Alligator mississippiensis: one gene and its partners. The main gene of each other region encodes a partner of the protein of the gene in region 2 in a complex. Links are inferred from orthologs where the notes say so. Each region holds a gene or a part of one and is shown on either strand. Other genes may lie near its edges.

Region 1 (7,814 bases), on a different chromosome or scaffold from region 2:
CCCGGCGGGGAGATTGCTGCTCTCAGCCCCCCCGCTCGGATCCGCCCCTTCCTCCCACCCCGCGCCCGCTCTCGCGCTCTCCTCTAGCCCCGCTTTCCCGCTGCGCTCGACTCCGCTCCGGATCCGAGCCAAGGGGCGCTTCTGTTAGAATCCCGGCCTTGACACGGAGTCATAGCCGCGGCCAATCAGCTCCGCGGAACTTCTTCGCTAGCGTTCGGATTTGGAACGTTGGCTTTTGCCCGCGTTCCGAACCCGAATGCCAGCGCCTGGGGGCTCGGGGAGGCATCGCTCGCTCGTAATCACTCCCCCGCCTCCTGGTTGAGAGGTTCCGGCTGTGTCTAGTCTCCGGCGACTTTGCCCCCTTGCATGACCCCTGGGAGATTTTATCCCACTCCACCCTCAGCAAGCCAGGGGCTGAACTGTGTGTTTCGCTGGGCCGCTACGGGCATCTTCCTTATCTCTTTGGCGGTTACATTTTCCACTTAGCGGGATCTCGAAATGCCCCTCACCTTTGCAATGCAACCGCTCCAGCTTTACAGGGCTGCTGAATGCTTTGATACATTTAGGCATCTCAGACAAGGAGCCAGGAGGAGAGGGAATTGTTTGAGGCTGATAACAATGGACAATTTTATCAGGGAGTGTGAAGTGCCATGTAATAATCTCTATGAATGGCTTCAACACTTACATTCCACTTGCTCTTCCTCCTTCCCTAGCTAACATGGTTTATCTCTGGCCAGGCTAAATTATGCAACTTTTTTTCCTTTCTTCAAGCCCTGCGACCGCTCTGTTTGTGAGAGGTGACAAGACGGGGCAAAAGCCAGTTTTGTAGTCAGCACACTCAAGCCTCAAATAATAATAAGTGATGAATCCCCCAACACTGTCCCAGCCAATAGGTTTGGTATAATTAAAGGCTGACGTTTCCGATTATCTGTCCCATAGCGATCTGCTCCCCCCACCCCTTCCTTTTCCCTTCCTTTTCCTTTGTTTAAGTTGTTTTTAAATCCGCTTGGCCCCGGTGACACACACCAAACAAAAGGCATTAGGAAGGGGAGGGGGAATTCATTCAGCAGCATAGAAACAGCAGCAAAACCAGTTTAGGAACACAAGAGTCAGTCATTCCTTAAACTAATCCGTTTGCATGTTTTTCTACATTAAAAGCTCTCTTCACACCAATTGCCCTGCACCATAGCAACTTTTCAGTGTTGCTCCCAGGGCACTCCGATCAGGTGACTCCATACATTTCAAACGGATCTGCTCTTCCTCCCTCCTCGTCACCCCTACTGCAGTTGTGCCCATGACAAAGAGCTGAATCCCTGTGCCCCACCCCACAGTTCAAGCTTGCAGCTGTGTTTCCACAGTATCAACCTAGCAGGAGCACAGCTCACAGACAAGATCTATTGGATTCTCAAGCCTGCCGCTAACCTTGGAGCAAGCATGATTAGATCAGCTGCTACCCACAGTTCTGGTTTTGGTCACTTGCTTTGTAGGTTTCTCTTCTTCAAAACACCCGAAACAACTGACAGATGACAGACTGAAGAGCAATGGTTTCATGGCAGCGAGGGAGGTTTAGATTGGATATTAGGAAAAACTTTATCACTAGGAGGGTGATGAAGCACTGGAATAAATTACCTAGAGAGGAGGTAGAATCTCCATCCTTGGAGGTTTTTAAGGCCCGGCTTGACAAAGCCCTGGCTGGGATGATCTAGTTGGGGCTGGTGCTGCTTTGAGAAAGGGGGTGGACTAGATGACCTCCTCGGTCCCTTCCAAGCTTCCTGTTCTGATTCTATGAACTACACAAAGATATGTCAAGGGATACAGCTTTGACTCCCACCCTAACTTCTCCCACTTGCAACAAAGAAGAAAAAGGTCGCAGGGTTCACAACAAAGTGCACAGACTGCACTTCCCCCTTTAAAAATGTAATGGCTGTTTCTGAATTTTTTGAAAGTTATTTCTGGGATTAAAATCAGATCTGAGACCCATATTCAAGCAAAACTCTCAGTAAAGGCAACGGGAGTTTTTGCCTGTTCTGGTTTTGTTCCAACTCCTTTCAACTGTGGTCCTGCTGTTTGTTCTGTGCTCGGTTCCTTGACAATAGAGGGCGCTCTTGAGATATTCCAAATATTTGGGTCAAACACTGGAATTGTGCTGGTAAAAAGGAGAACATGCATTTCATCCAGGGTGCTTTATTGTACTATTGTTAAATTTGACAAGTTCGAGATTTGGCTGCCTAACATCTGCATTGGTGTGTGTGTCCAAATGCACAGCCTGCAGCAAATGTGACATTTCCCTACAACTGCCCTGCCAGATAACTCTCATTTTGAAAGCTCAGGGCCACTAAATTAGCTGAGACAGTAACATGGGAAGATTAAAGTTCAGTATTTCAGAATAGGGAAAGATCTGACTGTGTTGATAGCCACGCACACTTGCTATTGTTATAAGCTCACATCTGAACCCACTCCTGAACTTTCACTTTCTAGCCCTTTTAAAGACCAGGAAAACAGGTGAAAGTTCAGGAATGAGTTCAGATGTGAGCTTATAACAATAGCAAGTGCATGTGGCTATCAACACATTGTTGTGACTTGAAGATGTCAAACAAACCACAGCTCTGATTTTTAGGTCTCTTTATCTCTTGCTTTCCCCCCCAGCTACAGCCAAGAAGCAAAAGAAGCAAGCATCATACGGCTCTGAGACCCAGCTTTTTTAAAAAGTGAAATTATATCAAAGAAAATGATAGAAAATGAATGTTGGGAGGAACCTCAGGGGGTCATATAGTCCAACTTCCAGCTCAAAGCAGGACCATCTCCAACTAAATCATCCCAGCCAGGGCTTTGTCAAGCTGGGCCCTAAAAACCTCCAAGGGTAGAGATTCTACCACCTCTCTAGGTAATGTGTTCTAGTGCTTCATCACCCTCCTAGTGAGAAAGTTTTTCCTAATATTCAACTCAAACCTCCCTTGCTGCCACTTGAGACCATTTCTCCTTGTTCTGTCATCTGTCACCACTGAGTTTAGCTCCAGCAAACATGTAACTGCGTAAAATGAAGTGAACATGTAACTGGGTAAAAGTCAAACACCTGCCAAAGCATTCATGGATTTGAAACAAGCTGTGGTTTGTTTTCCAGAAGGAATGTGCGATGCCTTAACTGTTCCCCTGCTGATACAATCTCCGTTTCCAGACATCCAACATGAATCTCCTCTTGGTCTGCTTATGACATTGGTGTGAGCGAAGGAAGGCTAGTGGGGAATCCAAGCTGGGCTTTCACTTTGCAAAACACATCATTCTATTTCCCACTATTATTTGGCAACGAAGGCAGCAAGTATCAGCAATAACTATTTAATAAACGGACATCTCTGATATTTTCGTACTTACATCATGTTTAACCCTATGGTGTGGAGCGGAGCTGTGGAGTCAGAGCTGCATCCTATTCTCCTAGACGATGGGACCCTTTGCAAATTAGGACCTGTACAGCAGATAATTGAGAACATGTACATCACAAGCTGTCCTGCGGAGGGCAGAGGAAAGGGGTCATTACTCCAACCTATAAAGGAGATTGACATGAGCCTGGGTTTTGCAGCTACTGACTAAGCCTGAAAATAGCAGGTGCAAAAAGCATTTGGAAGTCGCTTGCCAGAGCCCGGGAGGTAATGCGCTTCCTGCCCATTTATCTCAGGAAACCAGCATGATCTTCCCCCCGAAACAAAGTTAACCTCTCATTAGCCAGAAACTCCTGAGAAAGCTTTAAAAGCTTTGCAGTCTAGCTAATGTGTTTAAGATACTCCCCCCTCCACCTTCTCAGGCACTGCCATGGCAATTACTTGCCATCAGTTCCACATCGGGCTGGCTAAGGCAGGCTGAGTTTGCATTTATCTGCTGTGAGGCTGACAAGCCCAGAGCCTGTCAATGCAGAAAGGAAGCGTGGCAGCCAACTTCTTGCCTCTTTAGAGCTCCTCGAGAGCTTCCTGACATGAAGCTCAGCATTCCCATCTCAGGCATCACACACACACAGAAACACACACAGCACACACAGAAAGAGCACACACCCCACACAGAGCATACAGCAAAATTGGGATCTGCCCCCTCTGCCTTGTGACCTTTCCTCCATTCAATGCCCAGACCTGAATCCAGCAATGACCTTTCAGTGCTCTTTTTTTCTCAGCTAAAAAAGCTCCATAGAACAACATTGCAATGTGTGTATATTGCAATGTGTGTGTGTTTGTCTATGCAGATACACATCCCAAGGATCCCATTAGAGTGTGTGTGTATATTGCAATGTGTGTATATCTATCTAACTAGCTGGATACACATTGCAAAGATCCTGTGTAGTGTGTGTGTATTGCAATGTGTATCTATGCAGATACACACTGCAAGGAACCCGTGTCTTGTGTGTGTGTGCATGTGTGTGTATTACAATGTGTGTCTCTCTACACACTGCAACACACACACACACACACACACACACACACACACACAAGATCCTTGAACCGCTCCAGGCTGACATCAGTCGCAAACAATCCGGAGTAAGAGGTGTTTATTTTCTCAGATGGAATCTGCAATGTGCAAACATGTAAGTGGTTACAGATGTCCGTCTGGACCTATTTTCCCCTTCTTCTTCCCCCCCACCCCCCTTTCTCTTTTTACTCCTGCTGGTTCCCCGGAGAACCAAGCGCTTGTTTAGAGACAGGTGGATCGAAGGAGGAAACAACAACAACAACAACAACAACAAACATCCTGATTTTTGTTTTTAAAGAACCCCAAGGCAGGCAAACAAACAAGGGAGCAAAAATCCACCCCCCTGCCGCAAACCTCAAGTCCGGCAAGGAAAGAAGCAACTCACCGCAGCCGGCCCCTGGGCTCCATCCCCGCCGGCTGCCACATCCCGGCGCGGGCGGGCGCGGGGCGATCAGCAGTGGCGCGGGCGGGCGCTGTCCGCCGGGAAGGGGGCACTCATCGGGACAGCTCGGCCGGCCGCCGCCTGCATCTGGATCCACCTCGCAGGGGCTGTTTATCTGCCTCCCCCTTCCCGGCGCTGGCACAAAGCGAGGGGGATGTGCCTTTAATGACAGCGTGATCTTTCCGCCACCTATAGAAGACAAATGAGGGCTGGTGGAGGGGGGGGGGAGCAGGGAGCACAGTAATTCCCTCCTCGGGGCTGGGAAGATGCTCTCCATCCCCCGCTCCCCTGCCGCCCCCAAGGAGGGAGGTTGGAGCAGCGCGCTGGCCCCACCTCCTCCGGCTGCAGCCCCCTGGCGGAGCTGGCAGCGCATGCTGCAACCGCTGGAATGTACCTGCACATCTGGAGCAGCCGCTGGGCACGCTCCCCTTCGAGGCTCGCACAAAGGGGCCCTTTAGTGGGCCGGGGAACACTGGCTCGGGGCGGGCAGCCTCTCTTTTACAACCCCCCTCGCACTTGTTCAGCAATTTGTTACACTATCAAAGCCTCGCACCCGCCAACAACCCCCTTATTTATTTGGTTATTAGCCGACCTTGTATATACACCAGCTTTCCCAGGTCTCCCCAGATGTTTGGCTGCCAGCAGACAATCAGTTTCCCTTCCTTCTCCTGATTGAGTCCTAGCAGTTACATGTTTGTTTGGTTGGGTTTTTTTTTTTTTTTGGGGGGGGGGGGTTGAGGGGGAGGAGGTCTTTTTTTGGTACAGAATTTCTTCCCCAGCTTGCAAAGGCTTGGACACATTCATGGGAGGGTGGGGGGAACTTGGTTTTGTGACCATTAGGTAAGGTTGGTTTAGGTTTACAGTATAATCTCTCTGGTGCATCTGGACAGGCCCTCTAGGACCCAATACCTATTCAGGAGATATTATTGTTATTATTATTATTTTGTAATGTCACAGCCCAGATTGGAAGACGGATGTGGCTTTGTGCAAGCCGGGAGACGATACATTGGGAAAATGGTCTTTGTGGACATGTCCAGATAAGCATGGATGTTTGTTTCCCCAGGGAGAAGCAACAACAGCACACCTTGTATGGCTGCTACTTATCCCTGGGGAATGCCTGTGTTATGCATGCTCTGGCATGTGGCAAGTTACCTTGGGTGGGGTAGGGGAAGCTGGGGCCAGCACAATGCTGGCCCCAGCAGCCCTATCTGGGGCCCTGTGAGCCTCCCTGGGCTGCAGCTATGGCAGGAAACCTGGCCAACAGCTAGTGTGGCTCTGGCCAGCCAGGCTCTGTTTTTGGATGGTGCGTGCTACCACCGTGTGTGCCACCCCGCTTTTTTGGGGGGGTGGGGTTTTTGACCCTTGGATCTCCCTGGGCCAAACCCTCCTCCCCCCAGTGCTGCAAGGCAGCAGCATGGGGAATGCCTGCATGTACAGTATGTGGTGTCGCAGATGGGTTTGTGACACCACACAGCCACACTTGTCTGGGTGCAGCTTATATGTCCTGCTTTTATAATCTAGTACAATCCCCTGCTCAGAGCAGGATCAGACCCTAACTTCATTTTCCTCTGTTAATTGCTAGATCCTCCTTTTTTCCAGCCCAACAATTGAAAGTCTGATTTAGAGCCCCTGAGAATTCTTTATTTTCCTGGATTTTAGTGAGTTTTGCATTAGGTATTGAAACAGCAAGGTGGCCAGAGCAGCCAACCTCAGCCCTGCCCTCCTTCAAATGAACTCCTGCCAGATAATTGCACTCATTGTGTCTCACTTTGCTAATCATCCTGGCCTTGGTTCTCAGAACTCTTTGGAGCATCTCTGGATCTGCTGGCTCAAGAGAAACACAATAGGAGCATGCTCTTCTCGTTAAAGAACATTTCAAACAGCTCTGTTCCTAGCCCACAGGAATATGGGGTTTTAATTTACCCACTTGCTTCATCATTTGAAACTCCACAGCTGCAATCAGCAAAGCAGTAGTAGCTTTGATTAAAAATCCTAAAGGCAAGTCTCGTGTGTTTTTCTTCCTCCCTGTTCCACAAGCACAAAGAAGATCGGGTGCATAAAATAATGATGAGGGAGAGTTCAAAGCAATTCCAGAAAGCTGGCCTGAGAGGATGTTTTCTAATGCAGTTCCAGCCATTTACCATTCTTTCTCTTTGTTGAGCTTGCGCCAACACAACAGAGATAATCTAGCAAGCCATGGTTCTTTTCTTCTCTCCAGAAACATTAGTCAATATGTTTTAGAAGTCAGCTAGTCAGGTCTACCACAAATATAGTAATTAAATAAATGCCTTTAATCTGGTCTATAATAGACTTCTTTAACTTATTATCGGCACAAGAGGCCTTACTAAGGCAACTGCTCTTCTCATGATTTTTGTAGGATTTTTAGCACTTCTGAGACCTAGAAGAATCCTTTTCTTAGGTTCTGGTGAACCAGAAAAAAAAGAGGAGAGTGTAAGAAATAGGCATCTCTTTTGCTCCTGCATCATTTGCCAAATTTAAAGGCACAGAAGAGTATAAGCATCACAATACCATTTACCCTACAGATAAACAGGCATCTGAAACATTCTGGAGTTGTACCATGATCTTTGCTAATAGAAGCTTAAAGTATTAGAAGCTTAAAGTATGCTCTTCACACAGTGATCCAATATTGACATACTTAATGTGTTACATCTATAGCTATATTACCACTTCTATCTGGAAATTTGGAAGTACTTCCAAACACCAACTGATATCCTTGAGGTTATTATTCTTAATGAGAAAGGAAGTAGACCTTTATATCCTTACGAGACAGGTATTCACATACACATTTTATCTTTATTTAAAAAAAAAACCCTGCAGCATCAACCCTGTCACAAACACCAGGGATCATTTTTGATGCCATACATGTTAATTATACTAAAGCAATGAAATTAACATGCAATCT
Region 2 (7,814 bases):
CCCCAAAAGCAAGGCTAATGAGAAGAGGCTTTTGAAAAGGGATTCCCAGGTCCAGGCAGGAGTGCTGACACATTTCCACCACTGGAGGGCAGCCAGATCTAAAAAACATACAGGAATCAGCACAGCAAGCCTAGACTTCCCAGGCTGCCCCCAGAAAGCCAAATGCATTCAAATACTGCTCTCTGAAGCAGCCTCTTGGGGACCTGAACACGTTTCCTACAAAGGGAGAAAACAACTACTACTTTTGAGATTGGCAGGTTCTGAGAGGCAAACTTTTAGGCAGAGGGAATTCCTCTTCTCTCCTGTCCTGTCTCTCCAGCTATCAGGAGGAGTGGGGAAGGTTCTTTCACCCTGAGCCTGATGTTTCTGCCAGGCCTCGGGGCCCAGTTTCCTGGGGACAGAAAACATTGGGTTATAAAGATGGGTGCATTCCACAGGGCTGTCTTTGCTACAGAGATGAACATCCAGGTGCCCCTTTGGAGGTGCATCTTTGGAGCTGTGGCTACTGAAAGAAAAAGGCATACTGAACACCTACTCCAGAATGATATTTGAGGTGGATGAAATCTGTTCCATACCAATGCAGGGGCTACCTGCCTTGCTCCTTTCTGATATGCGGAGGGGAACTCAGGCCAGCTTTCCTTGGTATCACAGTGGTAGCCGGTTTTGTTTTTTCACTGAATTCTCTTCCCATTCAACAGGTAGAAAAAGGAAAAAAAATAGGGAGAGAAACCCAGCTTTCTGTTAACCCATGCAGAATTCAAATCCCAGCTGATCTTTGCTAGAGACATGAGGAGGTATACGTTGAGCCAGGGGTTTTAGCTATAGACAGCGGGCACTGAAATCAGCCTCCCTCTTGCTGTTTCTAAACGCTCGAAGTCATTGGACCAGATCAGTAGGTAACCCATATAGGCTGGCTGAGAATCTGTCCTCTTGCAGCATTCTCTTGGCATGGTTTGTGCTCATCTTCCCAAATATCATATGCCTGGGTTTTCACATGTATGTGTGTGTATAGATACGTATATACATATATACAGATACACATACATATAGACACACATACATACTCACGTATTACATGCATACATATACATGTATATAAACACACACATATATACGTACACATCCACACATATCATCTTTTGCAACCATCGGTCTTGAGAGACTGTGGAGATTGCGCCTTTGGTGGGTTACTGGATACTGCCACAGCTTCCTGAGTGGCTGAGTCTGATGCGCAACAAGCAGAACCTCCAGCAAGTTGCACATACAAATCAGTTGAGCTTGCACTGGCATGCTGAGTACTGTTTTCTCTTGCCCGCCTCTGACGCCTCTTCCCTAGCTCATCATTGGGACATATACGTATATATACATACATATATATGCATATATATATAGATATGCATGCATATACATACATACACATACATATATACTTATACCCATATATACATACATGCATATATAAACACACACACACATAAACACATCTAAATACACATGTATATAAACACACACACATATGCATATATATATATAACTTACGTATATAAACACACATACCCACACATACATCCATGCCTATATATATAACATACACACATAACACACACATTCACACACATAAACATGCACATACACACATAACACACACATGCATATATGTAAAAACAAACACACTATAAATACACACAAATACACATACATGCAGATGTGTAAACCACACACAAACACAGATGCATATATAAAACACACACACACACACACACACACACACACACACAGCTACTACTACTACTACCACCTTATTTTAACACTCTGACTCTCCCAATACATTATTTGACCTTCACACCTTAAAAGTCAGCAAACACTGAAATCCCACTGCACGAAGCTTAATCCAATTTGTTTTAAGCCCCGCCTGCCCCTCCATTTATTTCGCTCTTCCCTGACAGACAGATGCTATAATGGCTCATTGTTCACCTTGGCTCTCAGCTGACTTTCCTCTACCTCGCCACTTGTAGGCGCTCAGGTTCTGGCTAACCCAGTCCTCCCCGCTCCCACAGAGATGCCTGCGGCTAAACCTGGGAACCCCGGGCAGGATGGGCCCCCGGCTCCTCTGCCCTATGAGTCTCTTCTGGGACGTGTCCCCGAGGTGACAGCTTCTAAGGCGCAGCCGGAAGATCCTACTTTGCACCTTTAGGGACTAGCCGGGGCTGCAGTGACCATTGAGCAATGCCCCTCCCACCCATTAACCATTGAGGGATCCCCCCTTCAAGGGTGGATTAACCCTTTAGTGGGCCCTAGGCAAATTCATAGGCCCCTACTTAATCCTGTAGATTTATATTCCTTTTGTTTCACTCAATAATTAGAATATGTAAAATAAGTACAACTGGCCCCCCTTCTTCACTGAGGGCCTTAGGCATGTGCCTAGCTTGCTATGCCTTAAGCTAGCCCTGCCCCACCCCTCACATAGCGCCACCTTTGCCGCAGCAAGGATCAGCTCTGGGTTGATAACACCAGAGGTCAGGTTCAAGCCCCGATTCGGAGCCTGTCTCCTCCAGGGACCAGGTTGAAACTACCAAGATATGGTTGTAGAGGGTTGTGGGTGTTGCTAACGCAGCAAAATATATTAGATGACTACAAAAATGGAAATGAAAGGACTGGGAGGGCACTAGCTTGGACCCTCTACTTAGCAAGAATACCATGGAGGATTCAAGCTAGTGCCCCCCCCCCCCCCAATCTACATTCCCTGGGTAGGCAAGTTTCTGGGGTAAATGCTCCATGGAATTCTTGGTAGTGCCCAGCATGGAGTACCCTGGGTATCCACATCCCCTGGGCAGATAAGACTTTTGGGGTAAATGCTTCCTGGTTTCTTGCCAGTGAGGATCCAAGGTAGTGCCCAGCTTGTAGCACACTCCCCCCATCCACATCCCCAGGGTAGACAAGATTTTGGGGGTAAATGCTCCATGATATTTTAGCTAGTGAGGATCCAAGCAAAAGCACCCTGGGTATCCATATTCCCTGGACAGATAAGATTTTTGGGGTAAATGCTCCCTGGTATTCTTGGTAGTGCCCGGCTTGGAGCCCCCTGGGTATCCACATCCCCTGGGTAGACAAGATTTTGGGGGGTAAATGCTCCCTGGTATTCTTGTCAGTGAGGATCCAAGCTAGTGCCTGGTTTGGAGCCCACCCCTTCCCGGGGTATCCATCCCCCGGTAGACACGGTTCTCTGGGTAAACGCGATCTCTTTTATTAGCCCAACCCAATCGTTGGGGAAAAAAATAAAACTCTGCTTTGCAAGCTCAGGGGCAGCAACACCCTTCCACCCACACATGCCCCGGGGGAGCGCGGCCACCAGAGAGGCTCCCCGGCCGCAGCCTAACGGGCCGGTGCCCAGCTCGGCCGGCGGGGAGCAGAAGCGCAGGGGCAGGGAGGGCGGGAAGGAGGGCGGGCGGGAGGCAGGAGGAGGAGGCGGCGGCGGCGGTGCTGCAATCGCTGGCTCTCCCGCAGCCGCCTGTGATTGGCGCGGGCCCGCAAGCCCCCGGGGTCGTGACATCAGCAGCGCCACAAAAAGCCAAGGAGGCACCTCCGGCGCTTGGCAGAGGCAGGGGCAGCAGGAGCCGGGCCGGGCCGGGGCGGGCGCACAGGCACACGCAGCGAGGGGCCGCGGCGGCGCACGAGACGGGCTCCGCGCCGCGGGCAGCCAGGAGGAGCATCTGCCCGCAGGCTGCCACACCCCCGCGGCAGGAGGAAGCGGCGGCCACGGCAGCAGCCACTTGTTGATCGCGGCTTTCGAGAGGAGGAAACCCCAGCCCTGCCCCTGGCCGGCCCCCGGCGGGGAAGCAGTCCCCCGCGAGCCGGGCATGTCTCCGAGGCGGGCTGCGCCGGCGGGCCGGGGGCAGCGGCTGCAGCGGCGGGAGGCGCCGGGGATGCGGGGCTCAGCCGCAGCCTCCCGCTCAGCATGAGTGCCGGCCGCGGCCATGGGCTGCCGCGGAGGACGTAGGAGCCGCCCGGCAGGAGCAGCGCGGGCCAGCGGCCCCGGCGCGGCGCGGGCGGAGGGCAGCCCGCCGGCTTGGCTCCGCGCCTAGGAGGACTCGCGCACACAGACCCGGCGAGGCCACCCCGGGGCGCCGCACATGTGCCGCTCGCGGACATGCCCCCGAGTGCCGCCGCCGCCGCAGCTGCCTAGGCCGTCGGCGGGCTCCTAAAGGTAGGGCTGGGCGCACCTGCTGGGGCCCGTCTGCCCCTGCGCGCTCCGGCCGCGGCCGGCCCCCCGCAATCCGGACTCGCTTCGGATCAGCCCCAGCGCTGCTGCTGCTGCTGCTGCTGTGGGCAGGGGGTGTCTGCCCCCGGGGGGGCACTTTGGTGCGGGATCGGGCCCGGGAGGGGTTGGGGGGGAAGGTGCATGGAGGGGGTGGGATCGGGGCAGGGGAAGTGGGTGCGTGGGGGGGGGGAGGTCTTTAGGATGGGATTGGGATTGGGATCGGGCCCGGGGAGGCGGGTGCATGTTTGGTGCGGGATGGAGAGGGGGTGGGCGGGGGGTCTTAGGTGCGGGATCGGGCCCGGGGGGGGATCTGGCACCTGCTGCCGCGCCCTGCTGACCCCCCTTTCCCCCTCGTGTGTGCCTTGCAGGGCGACCATGGTGGCCGCAACCCGGTCGCTGCTGGCGCTGCTGCTGTGCCAGGTGGCGCTGGGCGGCTCGGCCGGGCTGATGCCGGAGGTGGGCCGGCGGCGGGCGGGCCGGGCGGCCCCGCAGCCGTCGGAGGACGTGCTGAGCGAGTTCGAGCTGCGCCTGCTGCACATGTTCGGGCTGAAGCGGCGGCCGAGCCCTAGCCGCGGCGCCGTCGTGCCGCCCTACATGCGGGAGCTGTACCGCCTGCACGCCGGCCACCAGCTGGGCGCCCGGCTCGAGCGCGCCGCCAGCCGCGCCAACACGGTGCGCAGCTTCCACCACGACGGTGAGCGGAGCGGAGCGGCCGCGGGGGCAGCTTCAGGGGGCTCCGTGTGTGTGTGTGTGTGGGGGGGGGTGGTGGTGTTTGGGAGTTGTAAAGTGTAGGGGGGTTTGGGGGCTGTGGGAGAGAGTGTGTGTGTAGAGGAGACAGTAGGGTGTGTGTGTATGTAGGGATTGTGAGAGGGACAGTGTGTGTAGGGGGCTGTAGGGTGTGTATGTTTGTGGTTAGGGGTGTCAGTGTGTGTGTAGGGTGTAGAGGGGCTTGGGCATGTGTGTATGGGGTGTGTGTGGAAGACTAGGGAGACTAATGCATGTTTGTAGGTGAGGGAGTGTGTGTGTGGGGGGGGCTGTAGTGGGTGTGAGGGAGTGCTTGTGTGTACAGGGTGTGTAGGGGATTTGAGGATCTGTCTAGGGTGTGGGTAAGGGGTTTGGGTAGGAGGGTGTGGGTGTGTGTGTAGGGGCTGTGAGGAAGAGTGTGTACATAGGTGTCAGAGAGAGCATGTGTGTAGGGGTGTCAGGGAGTGTGTTCAGGGTCTGTAGGGTGTGCATGTGTAGACAGGGGTGTGAAAGGGAGTGTTTGTTGGTTGTGTGCATAGGGGGATTAAGGGGTGTGAGAGGGAATGTGTGTGTAGGGGGGTCCCTTTTTTTTGGTATGGATGTGATCAGCTTTGGAGGCTTAAAAAACAGGGGGGGGGGGGGAGGAGTATCAGGGACAAAGTCTTTCCAAGGAGTTAATAAGCTCGGCTGCTAATAAAATAGGTTGTGTTGAACTTCCCAGCAGTGCTTGTAGTCAGGTGTGTGTGTGTGTGTGTGTGTGTTTTTAAAAGCCCTGATTAAACGACTCTGAATTTTATGTTCTGATGCACTTGGGGCTCAAATCTTTTTTTATTTTTTTTTCTCCTCCCCCTGCTTTTTCTTACCCCTGCCCCCTCCACTTTCCCTCCCTTTTTCATCTGATGTGAGACCTGTCGATTTTTCTTATTTTTTTTTTTTTAATTTTCTAACAGATTGGGCCCAAATTAAGAATTCCCACAGATTAGTTTTCTTTTTTTATTTATAAGGCTAAATACCAGAAAGTCTCCCTTGCTTACTTACAGTTGATCTGTAAGAGGGTCCTTGAGGAAAGGTTTCTAATCCCCGTGAGAGATCAATTCCACAATTGATTGTATTGTTTCCATAATGACTTTCTTGTCCTGAGTTCTGAAACAAGGCTAGATTTAACGCAGCTCTAAGGGGCAAAACTGGTCTGATAAAAGCCTTGTCACAGCCCTCCCCTGTCTCACATGTTCACCTGAGCCGATCAATACTGTCATTTTAAGTAAGATGCTGAGCGCATGTTATAAAGAAGTGTGAAACTGCATACACCCAAACTCTTTTTTTGTCTTGAAATTAGATAATCTACACACACACACACACAAACACGTGTGTGTAAAGTCACTTACTGCTTTAAAAATCTCAAGTAGCTGTTTTCTAATCTCACCCAAATGCTGCTATCTTGTGGAGAGCTGTATCCACCTCTCTTCTTGTTGAAACCTTTTAAAAGTTCAATAGGGTTTAACTGCATTAGGATAGTATAATAACTCCAGCCTTACGCTTCTGTGACAAACTAGTCACCATGAATGGTCTAATGTATCCATTTTACTTTGTTACCAATTTACTAAATACATGCAGAGGAGATTTGTCTTTTCTTAGGTGCATTTTTTTTTTTTTATTTGCCTTTCGGTACTCATTGTTTTATTAAATATGTGTGTCCATGGACTAACTAGATTCTGGGAGTGGGGGGTTCAGGCAGGGGGAGGAAATAACTAAACTGGTGTCATGGCAGATAGCCCAGGTAGACCTCTAGAATGAGTGGTTTGCATGTTACTCTTGCTCTTAACGCAAAGAAATATTCCAGAATTTGTAAATAACTTCTAGCTATTAGTCTTCAGTGGTGGTATGCTGTAGGCTCACTGTAAAATTAATGAAAACACAGATTCCACATGTTACAACATGGAGCTGTGACGAAAGAAATTTTATTAGGATTTAATTAAGTTGGTATACAAAGGAAGTGGCCTGAAATCGGTGGTTATACTCTCTAATGGAAAGCCTTATAATGAGGAAGGAGATTAATGGCGAAATTTAACCTTGCACTGTGGTTTGTGCTTCTGTATGTGGAAAGTAAACTCTTGGTAATAAATGGAGAAAATCCAGTGTAAGATTCATTCATGCTACCAGACTTCTGAACATAAAACTAAACGTGGTAGAAAAGGAACTCTACAGAAGTTGAAAAGCAATAGCACAGTTTGCCAACTAGCATGTTACTGCCATTTGAAGAAATTTCACAACAAAAAAATAAAGTTTGATTCTACATTTTGCAACAAATAATAATAATAAAACTAGCCACTTGCTTTGTAAACCATTGGTTAGGTCAGGCTGCCTGAAAGCATTACTGACTGTATGAAAACATGTGAAATCACTTTTGCAAGATGGCAACAAATGAGCCATCTATTTACCTATTTTGGACCTAATCCTGATACCCTTATGAAAAATCCTTATTTAGGGAAGGGAATCCATTAAAATAAGCAAGGAATAATTGCTTGAGTTAAGGAATATTCATATTAGTAACGACTTTTTATGGCAAGATGAATGGTTTTCCAGCATATTTATCACCAAAATTTAAAAACTGAATTTTTTTGAACAGGTTTATTTTTTACACTTCAAACTTTAAATTTAGCTTTGCATAGCTATGCAGTTCAGACTTGTACTACACATTTTATAGCCCCCACACAATAGGCCACATGCCACATCTCCCCCCCCCCCCCCCCCCAATATAATTACAGAGGAGGGGAACAGGGGAAGAGAATGGGACTAAATTTAAGCTAAGAAG
Region 3 (7,814 bases), on a different chromosome or scaffold from region 2:
TTAAAAATCCCCAAATCTCCTGATTTATGAAATGAGGCCTTGAGAAAATCCTTCCAGCTATCAAGAGACTTGCAAAATATCATGTCAACTGGTGATAATGTTGATGTCAGGGCACATCTATACCACATGTAGGTGTGTTCTTGACTTGGGTTAGTGAAGCAGTCAGCTAACTCCAGTTCAAATAGCCATGAAGACAGGGCATCTTGGGTTTTAGCTCTGTTTAACAGCTCAGGTTCAAGCCCTGTTGTGCCTCTACTGACTTGAACTTGACCTGCCAGCCTGGGCTGAAGATCAAGTTACCCTATCATTATTGCTTTTGTAACCCAAGGTAAGCATGTGCTTATCTTGGGTGTCAATGCATCCCGGTTATACCAGCAGAAATCTGGAGTGACACCACTTGCATGGGCTAGCCCCGTAGCTACTATGAGCCAAGCGCTTGGTGAATCCATCTGCTGTGCTGCAATGCGCCAGCGTGCTTATGGGCACCCAGCCGCCATCACCATCAGAGCATAGGACCCTGAGCTGAAAGCAAATGCCCTGTCTTCCAGTGCCCCTGCAAGGTCAGGCACGGCCCCATCACCCCTCAGCATCACGGCTCTGCACATGTGCCCACGATCCATCATCGTAACCTGCTGCCGAAACCGAGACCTCACAAGCAACCCTGTTGCATAATGGGCGATGACATCGCGGGCTTTGCCATTCTGATATTAATGGATCCTCCGTGCATTTTCATGCTAATTGCCATGTCTCCAGCATGCCGGCCACTCCCGCCCCCTCGTCCCCTGGCGGTCCCCAAGTTCCAATCCTTTTTCCCTTTTTCTCTGGGTAATTATCAACAGTTCCTTATCTCTAATTGCAGCCCAATGGTTTTGTCTTAATTCACAGAGGACAAATGGGGAGGGTCGGAGCTGAAGACAGCTTTTCTGTGCGAAAGGTCTGGGAATAAGACCTGCCAATCAATCACGACTTGAAACCCCTCTCCGATGCTCCTGCTTCTGGATGAAAGAGCGGCTGGTGGGGAGGGAAGGGGGGGCTGTGGGTTCTGGGGAAAGCCAGGTGGCCCCGGCAAACTTCTGCATCAGGGACGGGATGGGGATGGGGTTGCTTTGCTGTTGACTGGGTGTATTTTCCTTGGTTGCTTTCTTTAGAGTGGGAAAATCTGAGGCTAGCTTGCTCAGACCAGACCCCATGGTGCCAGGTGCTGTATATGAGAAGGGGCAGTCTCTGCCTGTGGGTGCTTAGAAGGGCAAAGACAGACTAAGTCAGGGAGGGGAAACTGAGGCAGGACGAGGCAGAAATGCAGAGCTCTGTTCTGGACAAAGGGAGAACAGCCTCCTGGAGCATAGTCAGCCTCCGGTAAAGTAACTGCCTCCAGCCTGGCCCAGAGGTTTGGCTTTTAGGCACAGCTACCCAGTAGCCGGGGGTTCCTGCAGGATTTGAGCCTGAATCTTATGTGCTGGAGATGCTTTGGGGGGCACCAGGGCCCTTTGCCTCTCCCCACAACTTCTTCTCACAACGTGGAGACACCAGGCATCCCATCCCCTGCCTGCTGAGGTGCAGCTGGTCCAAGCAGTGCCCCCTGGGACCGTGTCTGACCTAGGGGTCCGGGTGCTGGGGGGTCTTGCCAAGCTCGTGGCTCCACTTTTTGAGTGCTGCTGCCACCTCGTGGGGGTGCGCACGCATGGCACGTGGCTACTGGCTTCCCCAACCCAAGTGGCAGACTCCTGGCTTCTCCAGATGGAAGGTCCCAGCGGGTCCCCCATGCACCCAGGTCCCATTGAGGGGCAGGTTGCCCCACATCCACCCTGGTGATAGTCCAGCCTGTGGAGGGATGGAGCCTTCCCTATTTCCAGCCAAGCTGCCTGCCGGGATGGGGGGAGAAAGCAGGGAGGAAAATTCCCAGCGAAGGCCTCAGCGTGGGAAGGGAGATGGATCCAGCTGTGGCTGAGCCAGGGAGTGTGAAGAGCCCCCAAATTGTCCCCCCTGCAACAGGAGTCCAGGGGTGTGGCTTTCCAACCATTCCCAACAGCTGGGCCCAGTGCAGGGCACGGCCCTTTTGTGTGCTTGGCATGTTGTAAAAAGCCACAGGAAGGGGGGCATTTTATGCCCCCTTTGCATGAGTGCGATGGTGCCCTCTGGACAGGCCCCAGAGCACCAGGCATTCCCAGCCCCGGGGGTCAGGCTGCTCCGAACAGAGGGGCTGGATGATTTCCAGGCCTGCCAAGACCCCGCTTTAGCTTGGGGGCCAGTCCCCTCATGGTGTAACTCAGTGCAGTCACAGGGTGCAACCCTGCTTTCCAGCTGCACGGCAGCTCCCAGCTCTCCCACCGGGGGGGTGCATGACAGCTCAGGCTGTTTGGCTCCCCTACAACTGCTTCAGGCTTTATTTAGCCAGATCCACTCCCTTGACTTGCATTTCCCCCCGCCCCTGCCTCCCACCCTGGGTTATGTTTTAAACACATGGAACAACCCAGCCCAAGCACAGGGACAGTTGCTCACCCCGGAGCAGGTGCTTCTGTCTATTGATTTATCTGTACTCTGGCCTTTCGGGAGCTTTTCTGTGAAAATCTGCCCCCCACCCTCACGTAGGAGTGGGTTACGGGTGGGGGGCAATGGGACAGCTGGATTAACAGCTTCCTGCGTCTGCTGTCCCCAGGGATGCAGCCCAGAGGATTTCAGCTCTCCCCACATCTGGAGTGGAAATGCAAAGAGGAGTCTGGGTCTCTCATGTCTACACTCCTAACACCCTCTTTTCCACTCGAGATGGGCCCCTGGGCTGGGAGGATTGAAGGAAGGAGGAGGAGGCAGTGAGACGCAGAGGTGTCCTGATGTTCTCCAGAACTTCCCGTTGCAGAGCTGGGACGGGGAGTCCGTGGCTTCCCTGAACCACTGAAGCCATCCCCTGAAGCCCCTGCAGCTTCTGATGTAGAAGAGAAAGCACCCCAGCTTCTCCAAGGGGGTTTGTGCACTCTAGGAGGTGCCCAGAGCTGCCCTCCACGTCCACCCAGGTGGACCCTCCAAGAAGCAGGACAAGACACAGGCCTCTGGGCACGAGACCCATTGTGGCAACATATATCTTGATCCTTCCTGTGCCAAAACCAGCGCTGGGAGTTGTTGAAACCTGGATTCTGCCCAAGCCCTTCCCGGCTTGGCTGCTTTTCGTAGATCCACTGAGTTGGTTTAAAGACCGATCATCTTCTCGGCTGCAGAAACTCAGCTCCGGGGCGTGGGGAGCCCCAAATCCATCGCCCTAAGAAGAGAGCAAGGAGAGGTCCAGTGCAGTCAGGCGTGAGCAGGGCTGTCAGATCCTGACGAGGTCTCACCAGCATCACCTGGGGGGTCTCTAAGTTTTCAGACAAGAAAGCGGGTGTAAACCAGAACGTCCTCGGCCCTCTGGAGTCTCCAGCCTCCCCCCCTGGAATCCTGCTTTAGGGATCAAAAATACTGCTGGCTATTTTTAAAGTGGTAACTTAGAGCTTCTGTTGGGCTCCCAGGGACGGATCAGGTTGTCGTAAAGTTCAGCTGTTTTCGGCTCGCACCATAGCCAGTCCCCCGGCGTTAGCAGACTCGGTTCCCTTTTTTTTTTCTCTCCTGTCTCCTTCCACCAATGCTTCTAGCTGGCAGGTGAGACCGGGAAGTCGGGACCAGAGCAGCACAAATGGCAGGGCTGAGGTTCACCAAGGTAAGCATGAGCTCTGGCTCCTTTGGGTTTTCTCTTCAGAGGGCGAGCAGTTGAGGTTTGCTATGCCAGCACTCCTCCAGCCTTTGCTAGTGCATCACAGTCTGGAGCTGCCACTGCAGTTCCCCTTGCTGCTGTTCCACCCGGCTCTGGGGGCTTTGCCTCTGTCCTTGTACTGCATCAATCCTGGCTTCCCCATTAATCCTGACTATCCCAGTCCTAGCACCCTGCATGGCTCAGCCCATGGACTTCCATCCCCATGTCCGCTGCTCTGGACCTCGTCCTCTCTTGAGCATCTTCTTGCAGGATGGTGAAGGGTTTCCTAGGGGAACCAGCAAGGCAGGCCGAGCCTGTCTGCACAAAGATTTAAATCAGATCACTTTAGTTGAATTAGGGCTGGTGGAATTGCCGGGGAGGCTGGACAAACTGCCTGGGAGGGTGCGGACAGGGATTTATAGATGCATAGATGCTAGGGTCGGAAGGGACCTCAATAGATCATCGAGTCCGACCCCCTGCATAGGCAGGAAAGAGTGCTGGGTTTAGATGACCCCAGCTGATGATCCTGTCTTGGGTGGGGGGTCAGATGAGATGGACCTTGAAGCCCTACCTGTCCATGCATAGTGTTGCACCGAACCAACTAAGCAGCTATAAAGCTGCACCTTTGGTAAAACCTGGACCATGCTCTGTGTGGTCCAGGCCTGGCTGAACGCACTGCATCATCCCCCAGGCACAACCTAGGGCTGAGATTCATGTGCCAGTGCCTCAGAGGTGTCCTCATAGGATGAATCATCACTAAACCAGAACCCTGGCATCTCATCTGCTTTTGGAGAGTCACTGTTACCCCATCCATGTCATGGCTCTGGCAGGAGAGGATTAATCAGCCGGGCTTTAATTAGAGCAGAACTCCTCCACTTGGGGTTTGGTACTAGACTGGCATAGAGAAGGGAAGGGGGTATATCTGTTTGGGATCCAACCAAACCTCCAGGACCGTCTGGATCTTTTTCTCCCTGTTCCCCATCACCTCTTTTTTAAGGTCTCCCTCTGCCCTACTGGCCCGCGGCAGGGATGACACAGCAGTGCCAGAGCCGTGGCATTTCTAGGCAGGGCCAGGAAGCAGAGATGATCCCAGGTCCTTTGAACCCAGGCTCCGAATGGATCCGGAGGGGCTGGAGGTTGTGCCAGCACAGCTGTCTTCTCTGCTTCCTCCTCCTCCTTCCAAACTGCAGCTCTGCCGTGTCCTGCCAACTCCAGCCTGCAAAATTCCCAGCCTCTGTGCGCTGAACGCATGCATCCCACCTAACGCCTGGTTACATCTGCTGCAAGTCCCCTTGTTAAGGCTCCAGACGGCCTTGTGGGCCTGGCAGCACATTCCTGATTATGGGAGCTGGCAAATTCGCTCCGTGACCTGCGTGATGGCTCTGCGTGACCCATGTGATGGCTGGGGGGGACCTGCTGCAGAAGAGCAGTGGTTAAGAGGTTAAAGTCAGGGGTTCCCATAAGGGGGTCTGTTTGAAAGGTCTGAATAGTTCCCTATCCAAACCCCTTTGTGGGGCCCGGATGGGACCTTCTGCTCTTCTGGGAAGAATGTTCAGCTGCCCCCACTTCTGCCCTCCCTGTAACACATTCCCACGTGGGGCATCCATGCCCTGGCACAGCTGGCAGCTGGTTTCCAACAGATGGTGCTCATCCCCTGCAGTCCAAGTCCAAGCCCTGGCCGGGGTGGAGCCTCATGGGAAAAACCAACCCCGAGGCCATGACACGATGCCCTCGGGACTCAGGAGAGGGGCAGATAGAGCGGGGAGGAGTGGGGAGCCTGATGGGAGCTGCAAAGAAGGCTCTTGCAGTTCACAAGGAGGGGTCAGGTCTTGATTCCACCCAAAAAAGCAGGAGCTGCAATTTTATTGAGTTTATGGTATCTGAGCCCCTTTTGGGTGAATTATGGTATCCAGGGACTGAGTAACAGTTGCTCCTGGGTGGAGGAATTAAAGCTATGTGGTCTCTCCCTCCACCTGCTTCTCTTTCCCTTGGAAGGCTCAGGTAAGGCATGAGGGGCTGGGTGGATGGATTTATGGAAGGAAAGAAAGAAGGCAGGGAGGATGGATGGATGGATGGATGGAGGGATGGATGGATGGATGGAAGGAAGGGGCTTAGTGCCAGGGATGCAGACCTTTCTCTGCATTTAGCAGTGGGAAAGTAACTCTTCTCTCCAAAGCTGATAGGAAAAGACACTCTGCCAGCAGCAGTTTGCTGCTTCTCTGAGGCCAAGCCAGACTCCAGCAATTTGAGGCATGCTCTTTGCAAAGCAAACCCCACTGCATGCTTTTGGCAGAGCTGCTTATCTCTTTCACAGGTGGACTTGTTAATTAATCCGTCTTGCTTGGGTTTAACGAGGGGGCCTGCAATCTGTCTCCTCTCCAAACAGGCTGGTTTTCAGGCAGGACTGGAGATTTGCATTGTCTGCAAAGGCAGGGGAACAGATAGGAGCTGGTGTTTTAGTCTTTTATGTTATTACTTGTGAAAAATCATGAGATCTGCTTAGAATTTATGGATTTTTTTTTTAATCAAACCTTTTCCAAGAGGCTTCTTTGCATTCTGGTTTGGGATTTTTTGAGGGGTCTCGTTTTCAGCTGTGTTTTCTAGACAGCTTTGGAAACCTGGTTTATGGAAGCTGAGATTTTCCTGCCGTCACCTTCTTGAGGACAGGAGCTGGACTTGATAACCCACCTCTGGGCTGGTGTGCGATCAGTTAGCAAGAGTTGCCAACACTGTTGAACCACTTTGAATGCTACAAGAGGAGGTTTTGGGGTATTTGGGGTTGCATTGTTTTATCTGTGAAAAGCCGCCCTTCTTAGAGTCAGAATGTGACCATAGAGGTAAAAACTATCCAGGGGGAGGGTTGCATCTTCTTCTTGGCCGAGGGAACTGCTGGAGGTCCCTTCTAGCCTTGCTTCTCAATGCTTCTCAAACATTAAGTACCAGCTACAATCCACAAGAGTGGATCTGATGGGCTAAAGATCTGATTTGGGGATGTACTATTAAAACCTTGCCACCCACTTGGAGAGCAAAAATGGTTTCAAAGCAGTGGGTAAAGTCCAGAGTTCGAGCCCTGGTACAATGTCAGGCACGAAACATAACCATTTCTCCAGGGCTTGGTTGCATCTTGTTGCCCTGTGCTTGGGAGAAAGCTGCATTGGGAACAACCTCTCCACCTCTTCTCTCTGCTCGGAGTCGGGGTTGATCACAGTCTGAGGGGTTCGTACTGCTGCTTGTCATTTTGGTGTCTAAGTACCTTTCATGGGAGATAGATTGGCAATGGCAAATTCTCTTCTGCGCTTAATGCAAGCTCTGGCTGTCCTCCCTTAAGGGAGACGGACCTTTATTAACAAGATGAGTCATTAATTGCAAGTGTTCACTTTGGAGCCCAGCAGGCTCTTGGCAACATCTAAAGCCTCTATGCTAAACTGCCTTTGGATTAGACCAGTGGTTTTTAATGTTTTTAGACTCAAGGCCACTCTTGTTAGACCCAAAAGCCCCCCTCAGAAAATGCCAGTTCTTAGTTTTCACTTCTTTTTTGACTACAGAAAAATATTTAATCAACTCTTCTGTTGCGAAGAACTCAGGAAGACCATAACCGCTCAGGATGCTTGAACACCATGAATCCCTGGTTGCAATCTCTGGGTTTGTCTTGTGAATCAGGTTTGCGCACCCAACTGCGCTAATGTAATGTGGTGTCCCATAGCACCCTTGAAAGGATCGATCCCAAGGCACCTTGTTGAGAATCGCTAGCTTAGACCCCTAAAATACCCCCGCCAGCCCCAGCAAAGTGCCGTCCATCATCATGCAGCTTGCTCTCTTTGTGACAGAGGCATGAAAATGTCCCAGCTAAAAGCAGGACTACATCGTGGCAGGTGCTGCACAACTGCACCCATCAAAGGAGAAGCCCTTTTCCCTTTAGCACTTGCAGGCCTGATGGACCAGAGGGGATGGGGTCAGGGGGAAAGGGACTTGCCCACGGTCACACAGCAAGACAATGGCAAGTCCCCTGGTCCCCATCCAGTGCTGTATCCACTAGACCTCGATGACCAAGTTATAGGGTCCTTCCCCACGATGCACTGCCATGTAAATCCCCAGGAAA

What was found.
Region 1: the proteins of BMP2 (region 2) and RGMB are in contact, whole or in part, in a crystal structure (PDB 4UI2), measured with the Homo sapiens proteins. The link is inferred for Alligator mississippiensis from reciprocal best matches to the Homo sapiens genes BMP2 and RGMB. Residues at the interface, in NP_001191.1 of Homo sapiens: Val308, Gly309, Trp310, Trp313, Met371, Tyr373, Leu374, Asp375, Glu376, Tyr385, Met388; in NP_001353437.1 of Homo sapiens: Lys97, Arg100, Gly101, Leu103, His106, Ser107, Leu110.
Region 3: the proteins of BMP2 (region 2) and HJV are in contact, whole or in part, in a crystal structure (PDB 4UI1), measured with the Homo sapiens proteins. The link is inferred for Alligator mississippiensis from reciprocal best matches to the Homo sapiens genes BMP2 and HJV. Residues at the interface, in NP_001191.1 of Homo sapiens: Phe331, Pro332, Ala334, Asp335, Leu337, Asn341, Ile344, Val345, Leu348, Ser351, Val352; in NP_001366281.1 of Homo sapiens: Leu40, Asn43, Tyr46, Val47, Tyr86, Leu101, Ala102, Ser105, Ala106, His108, Gly109, Ile110, Asp112, Leu113.

Annotation. Positions count from the first base shown.
Region 1 is NC_081826.1:236,982,342-236,990,155, forward strand, and holds the start of RGMB (repulsive guidance molecule B), read right to left. Parts: upstream 5,159-7,814; 5' UTR 4,835-5,158; intron 3,461-4,834; 5' UTR 3,375-3,460; coding exon 3,370-3,374; intron 31-3,369; exon of another isoform or gene 1-30. UniProt on the Homo sapiens protein: Member of the repulsive guidance molecule (RGM) family that contributes to the patterning of the developing nervous system. Acts as a bone morphogenetic protein (BMP) coreceptor that potentiates BMP signaling. Promotes neuronal adhesion.
Region 2 is NC_081824.1:225,997,915-226,005,728, reverse strand, and holds the start of BMP2 (bone morphogenetic protein 2), read left to right. Parts: upstream 1-3,559; 5' UTR 3,560-4,204; intron 4,205-4,626; 5' UTR 4,627-4,633; coding exon 4,634-4,952; intron 4,953-7,814. UniProt on the Homo sapiens protein: Growth factor of the TGF-beta superfamily that plays essential roles in many developmental processes, including cardiogenesis, neurogenesis, and osteogenesis. Induces cartilage and bone formation.
Region 3 is NC_081838.1:17,968,758-17,976,571, reverse strand, and holds the start of HJV (hemojuvelin), read left to right. Parts: upstream 1-3,442; 5' UTR 3,443-3,682; intron 3,683-5,447; exon of another isoform or gene 5,448-5,716; intron 5,717-7,814. UniProt on the Homo sapiens protein: Acts as a bone morphogenetic protein (BMP) coreceptor. Through enhancement of BMP signaling regulates hepcidin (HAMP) expression and regulates iron homeostasis.